Danio rerio: one gene and its partners. The protein of the gene in region 1 interacts with the protein of each later gene in a pairwise test. Links are inferred from orthologs where the notes say so. Each region holds a gene or a part of one and is shown on either strand. Other genes may lie near its edges.

Evidence for each region.
Region 2: the proteins of dtnbb (region 1) and si:dkey-174m14.3 interact in binary tests that used the Homo sapiens proteins (3 or more experiments, as listed by UniProt). The two-hybrid records come from large-scale screens. The link is inferred for Danio rerio from reciprocal best matches to the Homo sapiens genes DTNB and BEGAIN.
Region 3: the proteins of dtnbb (region 1) and dmd interact in binary tests that used the Homo sapiens proteins (3 or more experiments, as listed by UniProt). The link is inferred for Danio rerio from reciprocal best matches to the Homo sapiens genes DTNB and DMD.

What each region holds. Positions count from the first base shown.
Region 1 is NC_133192.1:39,015,782-39,020,329, reverse strand, and holds the start of dtnbb (dystrobrevin, beta b), read left to right. Parts: upstream 1-1,541; coding exon 1,542-1,608; intron 1,609-4,289; coding exon 4,290-4,370; intron 4,371-4,548.
Region 2 is NC_133195.1:9,575,295-9,579,405, reverse strand, and holds part of si:dkey-174m14.3 (uncharacterized protein LOC563117), read right to left. Parts: intron 2,499-4,111; coding exon 2,391-2,498; intron 2,276-2,390; coding exon 2,195-2,275; intron 1-2,194. UniProt on the Homo sapiens protein: May sustain the structure of the postsynaptic density (PSD).
Region 3 is NC_133176.1:12,343,479-12,347,589, reverse strand, and holds part of dmd (dystrophin), read left to right. Parts: intron 1-1,447; coding exon 1,448-1,570; intron 1,571-3,048; coding exon 3,049-3,219; intron 3,220-4,111. UniProt on the Homo sapiens protein: Anchors the extracellular matrix to the cytoskeleton via F-actin. Ligand for dystroglycan.

The sequences.
Region 1 (4,548 bases):
AGTCTCAAAAATAATACATTTATAAAATAAAATTCATACACAGATCACATTTACTAAATTTAATTAGTAAATTCAAGACACAATTCATAAACACACAATCCAATTAGTAAATTCAAAATAATTTAATAAGGGTGGCATGGTGGCACAGTGGGTAGCGCTGTCGCCTCCCTGCAAGAAGGTTGCTGGTTCGAGTCCCAGCTGGGTCAGTTGGCATTTTTGTGTGGAGTTTGCATGTTCTCCCTGTGTTGGGGTGGGTTTCCTCCGGGTGCTCCCGTTTCCCCTACAAGTCCAAAGAGGAATTGGTGAATTGGGTAAGCTAAATATTCCATAGTGTATGTGTGTATGTCCTGGTCCTCCAGGTTGGGGGTTGAGCGTTGGACTAACGACCCACCTCGTAAAAATTAGATGTTACAAAACACCAACATGGTGGGGCTAAATATCAACTTCGATATAAATGGCCTTGGCAGTACGTTAGTAAGTAAAATAATTCATAAATACACAAAGCACGATTTGTAAATTTAAAACACAATTCATAAATACACAAATATAATTCATAAATTCAAAGCAAAGTTCATACATAAACAAAACACAATTCGAAAATGCAAAACAAGTCATTAATACACAAATCCAATTCGTAAATTCAAAATGTAATTCACGAATATGCAAATCCAATTTGTAAATCCAAAACACAATTTACCAATATGCAAATCCAGTTTGTGATTTCAAAACACAATGCGTGAATATAAAACACAATTTGTAAATTCAAAACACAATTCTTAAATGTACACATCCCGTTCCCTTGGGGAAACATTTATAAAATTTTCACATGTTGTGTTTTGAATTTATGAATTGGATTTTCTGAATGTGAATGGTTGTGTATGCATGAGTTTTATTTTTGCAGATGTATTACTTTTGAGACTGATCTGGCTTCAAAGTTAATGCATTCCACCAAGTTTTGTAACTGGGATGAGTTTTGACATAATTTAAGTGCTTTTACTGTGTATATTTATTATGTACAGTTGCAATCAGAATTATTAGCCCCCCTTTGAATTTATTTTTCTTTTTAAAATATTTTCCAAATGATGTGGTAAATCCAAATCCAAATGATAAGGTAAATCCTATAACATTACGATTATTTAATCGCTAGAGTACTGTAAATGCATGTTTATATAGTATAGACATTATACAGTTTTATTTTTATTAGCTAATCGAAATGTTATAGGATTTACCATAATTTCTCAAAATAACAATAATCGATCTCGGTTTTTATGATAATAAAAAATTTTGGTAAATCCTATAACATTGCGATTAGCTAATCGCTAAAGGCTGCTATGTGAATGCATGTTTATATAGACAGTGAACAGTTGAAAATTTGACATGGTTCTCGCAGAGATTGAGACAGAGATCGAGATTGTTATGTTGCGATTGCAATTTCTTTATCGATTTACCGACAAATATTCAAATAGCAGTTTAGTTTTTACCGTGAGTTTTGCCTTATTCTGTCTTCTGTGCTATTAAATGGACGTTTTGTATTGTGTAGAATGATTGAAGAGGGAAGTAAAAGCAGCAAGTCTATGGTGGAGAAGAGACAGCTCTTCATGGAGATGAGTGAGTTGCTTTCACACACTACACACACACACACACACACACACACACACACACACACACACACACACACACACGCACACACACACACACACACACACACACACACACAGAGGCTTTGTCGAATCCTATTCGCCCTTCAGTGCCACAGGGCAGTAGACTGGGACAAACTAGTGTCTCTGTTCGGAAGGCAAAACTAATTTTGAGAAAACCCCATATCAGGTCCCAGTAAATCTGTCCTCTGTGTCTGATTTGTACTTTATAGCGAGTACAAATGTTACATAGCTGTTGAATTTTTTTTTCCATGCCATTACGCACTTTTAAAAAAATTGTCTATTGAAAAACACTACATCAATGAATTCCTGAAGTGTGTATCCAACACACACTTTACTATATTATAAGGCCATAGAGGATGCAATACAACTGGTCATGTGATTATCTTTTTTTAACAGTTTGGAAATACATTCAAATTCAATAACTTACTTGAGTAGTTTGCAATTTCACACTCAGCTTCTGAGTAAAATACATGGCTGCTTACCTTTATGTTTTGATGTCATCACTGGGAAATGACCTCATTTGACCTCACTTACTTTAATGATTTGCATGAAAATGTTTAAAACAGGATACTGTATTTAAAGGTCCCGTGAAGTGCTTTGAAATCTGCTCTTTTGTTTCATGTGTGTCATAATTTCAAGGGTGGGACAAGAGAAGCTTTTTTCCTTTAGCCAATATCAGTTTCCCTTCTTCCCAAAAACAGCCAATAGCATTGCGTTTCATCACAGCTCTGCCAGTGAGAGTAGTTTAGCTTAAGTGCATCAAATGAAAAGCAAATGAGAGGTAGGGATGCAACGATTACAGATTCTGGTTGTACGTTTATAGTCTAAGGGATAATCATGGTTATCACGATTATTATGCACTCATTCATTTCAAAACACTAGTTTAGAAAATCCCATGAAAACTTAAAGTTTTTTTTTTAAGTGCTATTTATTGCTGCTCTGTAAACTATTTATACAGCACAACAAAAACAAACAATATAAAAAATGAAAACAATGAAATAGTTTTTACATTTAAACGTAATTAATAATTTTACAGTGAAAATAAAAATGACAGAACAATGAATAAATAAATAAGTAAATAAATAAATAAAAATAAGAGAACACATGCAGTCAAAGGCCGCTAAACTTCGGTCTGAAAGGCACTATTGATCAACTATATTATGAACTTCTTTGGTATTTTTCTTTTGTATTGTGTTTTTTTTTTAGAAATGTCTATATTTCATACAAAGTTTGAAGCTGATTGGTCAATTCTTGTCACATGACTTGCAATATCAATATGCGTGCACCTCCATTAAAAAAAATAATGAACTTGTGAAACCCCGTCGGTCTTACGCCACCCAACCCGCCCCAAGCTGGTATCAAACTGGCGACCCTCCGCATGGGAGTCGGTTGCTCTACCAAGGAGGCTAAAGACCATGGCCTCTAGCGTCTGTCGCTAGAGCACCTTTTAGAGGTCAGAGGAGTGAGGTTTACCTGCACAGCACACACTAGCTGGCCTCCGTTACACTTGCGCCTGCAAAACACAGGATTTGTAAACGGCCCTTATTAGTCTCAGCCAAAGTTAAAATCTTTAATCCAGTATGTATACATACTGGTATACCGTGGCCAAGTCAAGGTTTTAAAACTGGCAACATTTTCTGCTATACCGTTCTTATGGTATATGCAAGCTTTTTTATTAACTTTTTTTTTTTTTTTTTAAGTTTTTGAGGACAACAGTATCTCCAGCAGAAAAGAAATCTAAAGAAGCCGTTTTAAATTGTAAAGAAATCAGTGTTTTTAAAACTAATGAAGATTAGTTGAAGATGATTCATTTGAATTATTTAGTCTGACATGTTTACTGTTCCAAAATATTTTAAATAGTTCTCAAAATAAGATCGATTGTGTTCACAGGAGGAAAAGGTTTAGTTTTTTACCCAGACATTTAAAAAGAACATGTTTTAGAGCAGTAATCACAACACCGTCAAACCATGAAATCATGATATTTTTATTCAAGGTTATCATACTGTCAGAATCTTATACTGACCCATGCCTACCACATATTGTGTACAAGCTCGGAACTTTATACTAGTGGCACACATTTGGCATAGCTTTGTTTAGTTGCAGTTTTGTTCCACGCAGAAACGTGGTGTTGAGAAGCCTTTACGATTAATTAACCGTGACGAATTAAAGCGTGGTTAACAGTGAAATCCGTTACTCGTTGCATCCCTGGTGTCTTGAAGGTGCAGGACAACTCAGATACTAAAAAGCATTTGATTGGTCAAAAGAACTGATGAAAAACTGAAGGACGGCAGAAGTGACAAACTTCAAGCTTTGGATGATTATATCTTCTAAATGCAAATTTAATCACTGTTTTGGAGCACACTCATTTGTAGATATCCTTAAGACTTAAACGTATTGATACTAACTTCTTAAACGCTTTATTTTGATTTTACAGGGACTTTAACAGGTAGCTATCACTATACTGGTGCAAAAAGAGCAGCCATGACATTCTTCAAATTGTCTCTTTTTCTATATTATGGAAGAAGAAAGTCTTATATAAAGGAAACAACATAAGAGTGAATAAAATAATGTCAACATTTTAATTTTGTGTGTGAAAGTGACAAATCTGATGCATGTAATTTTACCCAGGGGCTCAAAACTTTGATGTCATTCGCCTTTCAACGTACAGGACAGCATGTAAGCTACGATTTGTCCAGAAACGCTGCAACCGTAAGTTGTCATGTCTTTCATTTGAATGTATCATTGAATCCCCTTGTTTAGCAAGTACATTTGTTCTCGTGTGCTGGGAAAATCAACAAAATACATCCATTGTTTATTCTGGATCAGTGTTTCCCAACCGTGTTCCTGAAGGCACACCAACAGTACACATGTAACATCAAACACACCT
Region 2 (4,111 bases), on another chromosome or scaffold:
AGATTTACTGTAAAATAACGGATGCTAAGTTAAAATAATTTCTTTAAATGTACCGTTGTTATTTTATTTTATTTTTTTACTTAACGTAGCATAAAACAAATTTTATTTTACAGTGTACCTACTTATTAAATGGGAAGTAGGACAATCTGAAAAGGTAGAAAAAGTTGTCAGAACACTGGGTTTTGGGTGGCCCCTGCCATTGGATACTATACCAAAGTTGCTGACCCAGGGGTGTTACAGACTACCAAAAAGCTGAGGACTGGTGGTGGGGTGAAATTACAGGAGTTTTCTGGTAAAAATAACAACATGGGAGGGTGGTGGGAGATGGGTCTGAAATACGGGAGTCTCCCAGGAAAAACGAGAGTGTTGGCAGTTATGCATTTGATTAACATTTTAAAACAAAAAAAGCCCCAAGATAATATTTCATTTTAAATATTTTGGGTAGAAAACATACAAATGAAGACACACAAGGAAAAATCTTCCAAGAAGTGTTTTTTTAATTATTTCATACTGTCACACCATGGATTAATTTAAAAAAGTTTTTTCCACTTAATAGTAACTTATCAAAAGTAGCGAAATGTTTATTAAAAAGAAATGTAATATTTTATTCAGTGTGCCATGAAATTCAACATAACCAAACTGAATCAACCAGATTCTCCCCTTAGGTAGTATAAAGTAACAAATTACAAATACTCAAATTACTGTAATTGAGTAGTTTTTCTCAGGAATTGTAATTTACTAAGTTGTTTTGAAAATGTGTACTTCTAATTTCCCTTGAGTATGTTTTTAGTGCAGTATCTGTACTTTTACTCCACTACTTTGCTTCAACCTGCAGTCACTACATTATTATTTCTTGTCTATGGGGATTAGAAACATCAGTCCTGTGATTCCTGTCCAATCAGAGCGCACACAGAAGGTAAATCGCTTCATAATGAACTACCTCAAGACATGGGAGATTTATAATTTCTGCAAACTGTTTGAAAGCACCAAAAGTCTCCAAAAAGATGTCCAAAATCTTTACACGCATTGACCCAGAGACTGTTTAGATGCATGTCTCTGATGAAAAGATAACAGATGTTTACTGTATGATAATCGAAATAGCCTTAAACACCAAGCAGGCACATGACGTCAGACTGGAAATAAAAATCGTGTAGAAATAAGAACTCAACGTCAGGCCAACGTCAATTTCCAACCTAAACCAACCAAATATCAAAGTCTAATGATATTACAGCTTGACGTTGTGTGGACGTTACCACTATGACATCTATCAGATGTTGGATTTTGGTTGCCATACCTGATGAATAAATGGTATCTTTTGATGTAAATATGAAGTTGGTTTAAGATGTTGGCTCAACGCTGAATTTGTCACTTTCTAACTTAACCTAAAATCAACCAAATATCAACATCATTTGACATCATATTGCACATCAAAAAACATCCTTAGACGCTGGCTAGATATAGAATTTTTGCCACCTGACATCACAGTCTAAATCTAACCTAATATTAACGCCTTATGGTGTTGTGTCTGGGCATTAACTAGATGCACTACAGAATGTTACGTTTACACACATCCACAAATTAGATGTAAACGCATCAGTTTTAAACAGTGTAATACTCACTAATCTTAAAAGGGCTACTTTTTACTCATTCTTTGAGTTATATTTACAACAGATACTTTTACTCGCACTACATTTTTAGGCAAGTAATGGTACTTTTATGTGAGTACGATTTTTCAGTCCTCTTTCCACCACTGCATGACACTAACAAGAAAACAGACTTTATGCACTCCAATGAAAAGCATTATAACACTTGTCTGAATTATTTATTTCGTGTTTATTGAACAATTTCTCATTAAACACATAGAAAAAGTAACTGTGTGAATTATTTCAGCCTTATCTTTAGCATATTTTTATAATATAGGGGAAATCAAACACTAATCGTGAGTATTTGATTGGATAAAAACTGGCAAGCTAAAATGTAGGATGAAGTCATCAAAACAAAACCATAACTATATTGGTGAACTTTTAAATTAGAATTGTGTCGTTGTTTTGGAGCATATTATTTTAAAGATAATCTTAAAACTTCAATACTGATTTCAGGAGGAGATGCATATGCTAGGGAAATACAAATGCACCACGTATCAGGACTAACCAGTGCAGTCAGAAAATGTACAAAACTGTTTTTGTTAACTTACCTCGGATAACTGGGCTCTGTAATGTGATTTATTGCACTGCAAAAGCTGTGCAGCAAGGTTACAGTCTTTTCTGTACAAGTCCTGTGCAGAGCGGGAGAAAAGGAACATTAGGTAATCTAAAGCAAACCATCCTCCAAAGGGTAGCCGCTAAGCCTCTGTGTGCAAAGGGAAATCACATAGTCATTATTTCTCTTACATTGTCCTCTCTGAGCTTCTCAATGGTCATCTTGGCTTCCATGAGATGATTGTTAAGAACGATGATTTCGCGACTGAGAGCCCGTTTCTCATCATCGTGGTGCTGGGACTAGATGAAAAGGAGAATGTTTTCAGGTGAGGAAAAAAAATGACAGATACACTGCAAAAATGTTTTCCTTGCGTAGATTCATGTCTTGTTTTCAATCCAAATATCTAAAAACTCTTAATTCTATAAGCATTTTTTAGACAAGCTAAAAATTAGGTCTCATTTTAAGAAATATTGTCAAAATTAAGTGAGAATTTTTCTTAAAGCAAGCACAACAATCTGCCAGTGGGGTAAGCAAAATAATCAGTTGTCAAAAAGAAAAACATGAGTATTTTGATTACCCCATTGCAGGGCCGGAGTGGGACTCCTTTTCAGCCCTGGAGTTTCAAGCCTCAGACCGGCCCACTTCAGTTCACGACTGACTATAATAAAATAAGGTCATTTCCAAATCAGTTTCTAATGACACTATCACGTCATTTTTTGAGAAAAGAGCTGCTTTAGAACTTCAAATGTTCAACAACCCTAACAGTATCATATGTCTTAACAATAAAAATGAAAACAAAAAGTTACTCTAACGAGGGTCGAACCCGGGTCCGCGGCGTCTTAATCTAACGCACTAACCGCTGGTCCACAATAATGGTGTGTAGATAGGAGACAAAACTGAGTTTTATAATCATTAAAATAGATGAAAAGAGAAGAGTTGCGGTAAAATAATGAATAAAAAGGCTGTGGTCAAGTAAATAAATAAATTTAAAAAGTGTGACTGCAGAGAGCAACAGATTCTGCAGCTAGGGACACCGGCCCTCGCGGCCAAAAAACGGACCGGCCCACCGGGAATTCTCCCGGTCCTCCCGATTAGCCAATCCGGGCCTGCCCCATTGGCATACCTGTCAACCCTCCTGTTTTTCCCGGGATTCCCCCATATTTTACAGTTCTATCCAGCTATCATCTCGTAAAGGTATTTTCCCGTATTTCTACCATATTTTCAGTCTTTCTCTGAAGGGTGGCAAGTAGACATTAAAGAGCCGATCCTCCCCATACACAACCCATACCGCCGAACCACCAGGGGCTGCCCCTCGCTCATAAATATGAGTCTGTTCTATGCTTTCGATTTGTTTAGGCGAGAAAACACTTTGAAATAAATATAAAAAAGATGCGATTCCCTTTCTTTTTATTACAGGTGCCGTCACCCCTCATATGCTATCCTCAAAACAGTAAAAATTGCTTTGGTGACTGTCCAGCCTGATCTCACAAGAAAATGTAAGTATTTTACGTTTTGGCAGTTCAGTGGCTAATTCGTACAATTCGTACGAGTTCAGTCGTAAGAAAATGTATGATTTTAAAAAGGAGGCGTGGCACCTTACCGCACCCCTAAACCCAACCGTCATTGGGGGATACGCAAATCATACTAAAATGTACGAATTAGATTGTGCGAATTTGTACGAATTAGCCACTAAATGAAAAAGTTACGAATTGCCGTGAGATTGTGTTGGACTGTCAGCTTACGCACTCCATAGTGATAAATAGACGCTGTTTCCCAAACGGATTCTGAACAAGCCAGTCTGGGTTTTTGGTGCGTTCTTAAACAGACATATACACATAATCAATAATAATAACATCTAAAGATGTCAATCTTGGTGTTTTTTTTTTTTTTTTTTTTTTTTAACACAACTAAT
Region 3 (4,111 bases), on another chromosome or scaffold:
TTGTTCTTTTAAATCCAGATGGCCATTTCTGGAGGCGGCAATAATGTTATGAAACTTTAAAGCATATTTATCTCCTGCTCTTCTTTATTACCTTTTCTACTGCTCGCCGTTTCCACATCTCATCTTTTATCTTTCTGACTATGTTTTCTACCTTATTCCGCTTTGTAAATAGCTATAAATATCTTGGGGACAACATGTCAAGAGATGAGGCTTAGCCTTGAAGCTAAAATGAAAGGATTAAATAAAAGTAAATTCATAAAATGAAGATTCTGTTAATGTTTTCTAACTTATATATTATTTACCTTATATGTCCACATAGCACAAAAAGAAAATGTTTAATAATATATTTTTCAATTTTTTGCATGCAGTGGAAGAAAGTCTAATGTTTCACAGGTGTATATCAGAGTTTATTAAAAAATAATATGGCATTCTAGGGCTGCACAATATATTGTTTCAGCATCGGTATCGCAATGTGATCATTCGCAATTGTCACATCGTACGATATGCAATGTTGAGTCTATATTATTATGTTATTATTATAAGCCAGAATTTACATGTTTTTTTTAAGCCTTTGACTGCATTCACGGCCAAGAAACGGTACCGTTTGTAACTTTAATAAAGATTCATTTTATTGAATTATTATTATTATTATTATTTAGTTACTACACCAGAAGACTATTAGACTCGGAAAAAGATAAAAAATTCAGTCGTATCTTGTATTTTTTTTATTGCATTGATCTATGCTTGAAGGTGGTTAATTATATTTTAGTCAGGTGCATTTCTTATCTCAACCGAACCAATCTAAAATAATTAATCCTTTCCAAATCGAAGTATTCAAGTCTTCTGCTAAAATGGTAATCATATCACAATATCGATTTTTCCAGTAGTGTGCAGTTCTAACGTATACAGTGTAATTAAGTTAAGATTTATGCATGATTTATTTTTATTTGGTAGTCAGTCAGTATTTTATATTGTCCTGTTGTAATTTCTGCTGATGATACGGTTCTCATCTGAAGTTTCAAAGAAACCCTATTAGTAGTTGATAATTAAAATAAAACACATTTAACACATACACTCGCCGGCCACTTTATTAAGTGCAATTAAGGGTTAAAGCAGTTCCAAAGGCAAACGTGTTTACAACCCGGTACTAGTAAGTTGTACCTAATAAAGTGCCCGGTGAATGTATCTGTTAATGGCCACTCAGAGAACCAAAATTAACTCTGATGCTGTTTCTATTTTTCAAAGCTGTATGTTTCGCTGTTTTTTTAACATGCAATGTTTGTAAGAACACAACCGTGAATAAATAATAACAGACAGTACATTTTTGGATAAACGTTTACTTTAACGTAGCATCTACTGTAATATCACAGCCTGTTATGGAGCATATTTCTTTATGCTATTAAGCGAAGCTGAATGTAAACATACAGTATCTCCATCTGCCATGCAGGATTATCAAAATCAAATGAAAACACTTGAGCAGAACATTTCTCAGATCAACACCTGGATGGATCGCGCAGAAGAGAAGCTGGATGAGATGGACAGCCAGGGCTGCATTGAGCACGTTATAAAGGTCTTCAGACACTCACAATATGCTTCTGCACTTCACAACCGAATGTTTTCTGTTTTTGAGGACTAGAGACGGTTTTATGCAGCCATACTTTTGCATCAAATTAAAGGAAAAGTTATCCATCTTTCTTTGGCAATGATGTTTTGATGGCTCATTAATTGGAGGCAATTTGCAGCAAATAAAACTCTAGATTAAGCCATTAAGGAGAACAAAACAGACAGATGGCCAAAAAATTGTATTTTAGATTTAGAATACAGATCATCATTCATCCGTACCATCTATACATTAAATATAACCGTCTTTTGTAACTTATTACCTAAATATTTGGTAACACTTTACAATTTGTGTAAGTTAATGAATTAGTTAACATGTATCAATGACGAAAAACACATTTGTTAAGCATTACTTATTCTTTAATGGTAACTAAACATATAATAACATGTTAGTTGATGGATTAGTTAACATGAACTGAAGGCGAACAATGTTTGTTCAGCATTATAATCTTTAATAGTTGTTAATGTTTAATTGCAATGCAATAACCAGAACAATTAAGTTACAGTAAGTAGAATTTTTTTTCTGTTTGTAACAAGTGATAAAAACTAGAAAATCTAGAAAAATTTAATTATAAAAACCAGTAAATTAAGTTGCTGTAACTATAATAAAAAACTACTTCGTTAGTTAGTTAGTTCTAACTTAAATGTTGTAATTAGCACAACTTAAATTTTCTAGCTAATGCAACTCAATTATTCTAGGTCTTATACTGTAACTTAATGTTTTAGTTAGCACAGCTTAAATATTCTACCTAATGCAACTCAATTATTCTAGATCATATACTGTAACTTAATTTTGTAGTTAGCACAACTTAAATATTCTAGCTAATGCAACTCAATTATTCTAGGTCTTATACTGTAACTTAATGTTTTAGTTAGCACAGCTTAAATATTCTACCTAATGCAACTCAATTATTCTAGATCATATACTGTAACTTAATTTTGTAGTTAGCACAACTTAAAATTTCTAGCTAATGCAACTCAATTATTCTAGGTCTTATACTGTAACTTAATTTTGTAGTTAGCACAACTTAAATATTCTAGCTAATGCAACTCAATTATTCTAGGTCTTATACTGTAACTTCATTTTTGTAGATAGCACAACTTCAAATTTTTAGCTAATGCAACTCAATTTTTCTAGGTAATATACTGTAACTTAGTTTTTGTAGTTAGAAAAACTTAATTGTTGTAATTACTGCAACTTTTTTTCTAGTTACCGCAACTTAATTTTTCTAGTTCTTATAACTTTTTTTGTAGTTCTCATAACTTACTTTTTTGTTACTGCAATTTAATATTTTTTTTGAGTTTTTAATTGTCAAGTGTAATTGTATTTTTTTTTTTTTTGCAATACCTATGAATTAATCAGATTTATAGCATTTATTCTAAATGCATCATTCATAACTGATTTGTTGGTGTTTTCTGAATGTTCAGGGTTTGCGAATGGAGTTGGAGGAGATGAAGGGGAAAGTTGAAGCAGTGCAAGTTCTAGCAGAGGATCTTATAAAGAACACAGGGGAACATTGTAAAGCTCAAGTGAAACCAAAGCTTGAACAGCTTAACCAACGTTTTGACATTGTTGCAAGAAGGATTTTAATGGGACAGGTAATGCTATGAAAAGGTGCATGCCTATACACTACCTGACAAAAGTCTTGTTGTCAATCCCAGTTGTAAGAGCAACGAATTATAACTTGACTTCTAGTTGATCATTTGAAAAAGTAGCAGAAGGTAGATTTTTCAGATGAATCAGATCAGATGAATCAGTACTGCAGAAGACCTATTGAAACCAGCATGGACCAAATATTCTCACTGAAAGTAGTCAAGTTTCGAGAAGAAAAAATCATGATTTGGGGTTACATTCAGTATGGACCAAGCTAGAGATCTGCAGAGTGGATGGCAACATCAACAACCTGAGGTAACAAGACATTTGTGCTGCCTATTACATTACAAACCACAGGAGAGGGCAAATTCTTCTGCAGGATAGCACTCCTTCTCATACTTCAGCCTCCACATCCAAGTTCCTGAAAGCTAAGAAGGTCAAGGCGCTCCAGGATTGGCCAGCCCAGTCACCAGACATGAACATTATTGACCATGTCTGGTAAGATGAAGGTGGAGGCGCAGAAGATGAATCCAAAGAATCTTGATGAACTCTGGGAGTCCTGCAAGAACTCTTTCTTTGACATTCCAGATGACTTTATTAATAAGTTATCTGAGTCATTGCAGAGATGTTTGGATGCAGTTGTTCAAGCTCATGGGAGTCATACACAATATTAATTCTCTTTCCACTGCACCATGACTTACTGTACATATACTGCACATTATTTCTGTTAAGTGACAAGACTTTTGTATAAGCAAAGTCAGACCTTGCTGACCTTATTAAAGAATTAAAAATCAAGGCATGATCATGTTTTATTTTGGTAAAATAAGAGTCACCTAAGCCTTTGTCTTTCATGCAAGCCACTTCTGATACCAAATGATCAACTAGAAGTCAAGTTAT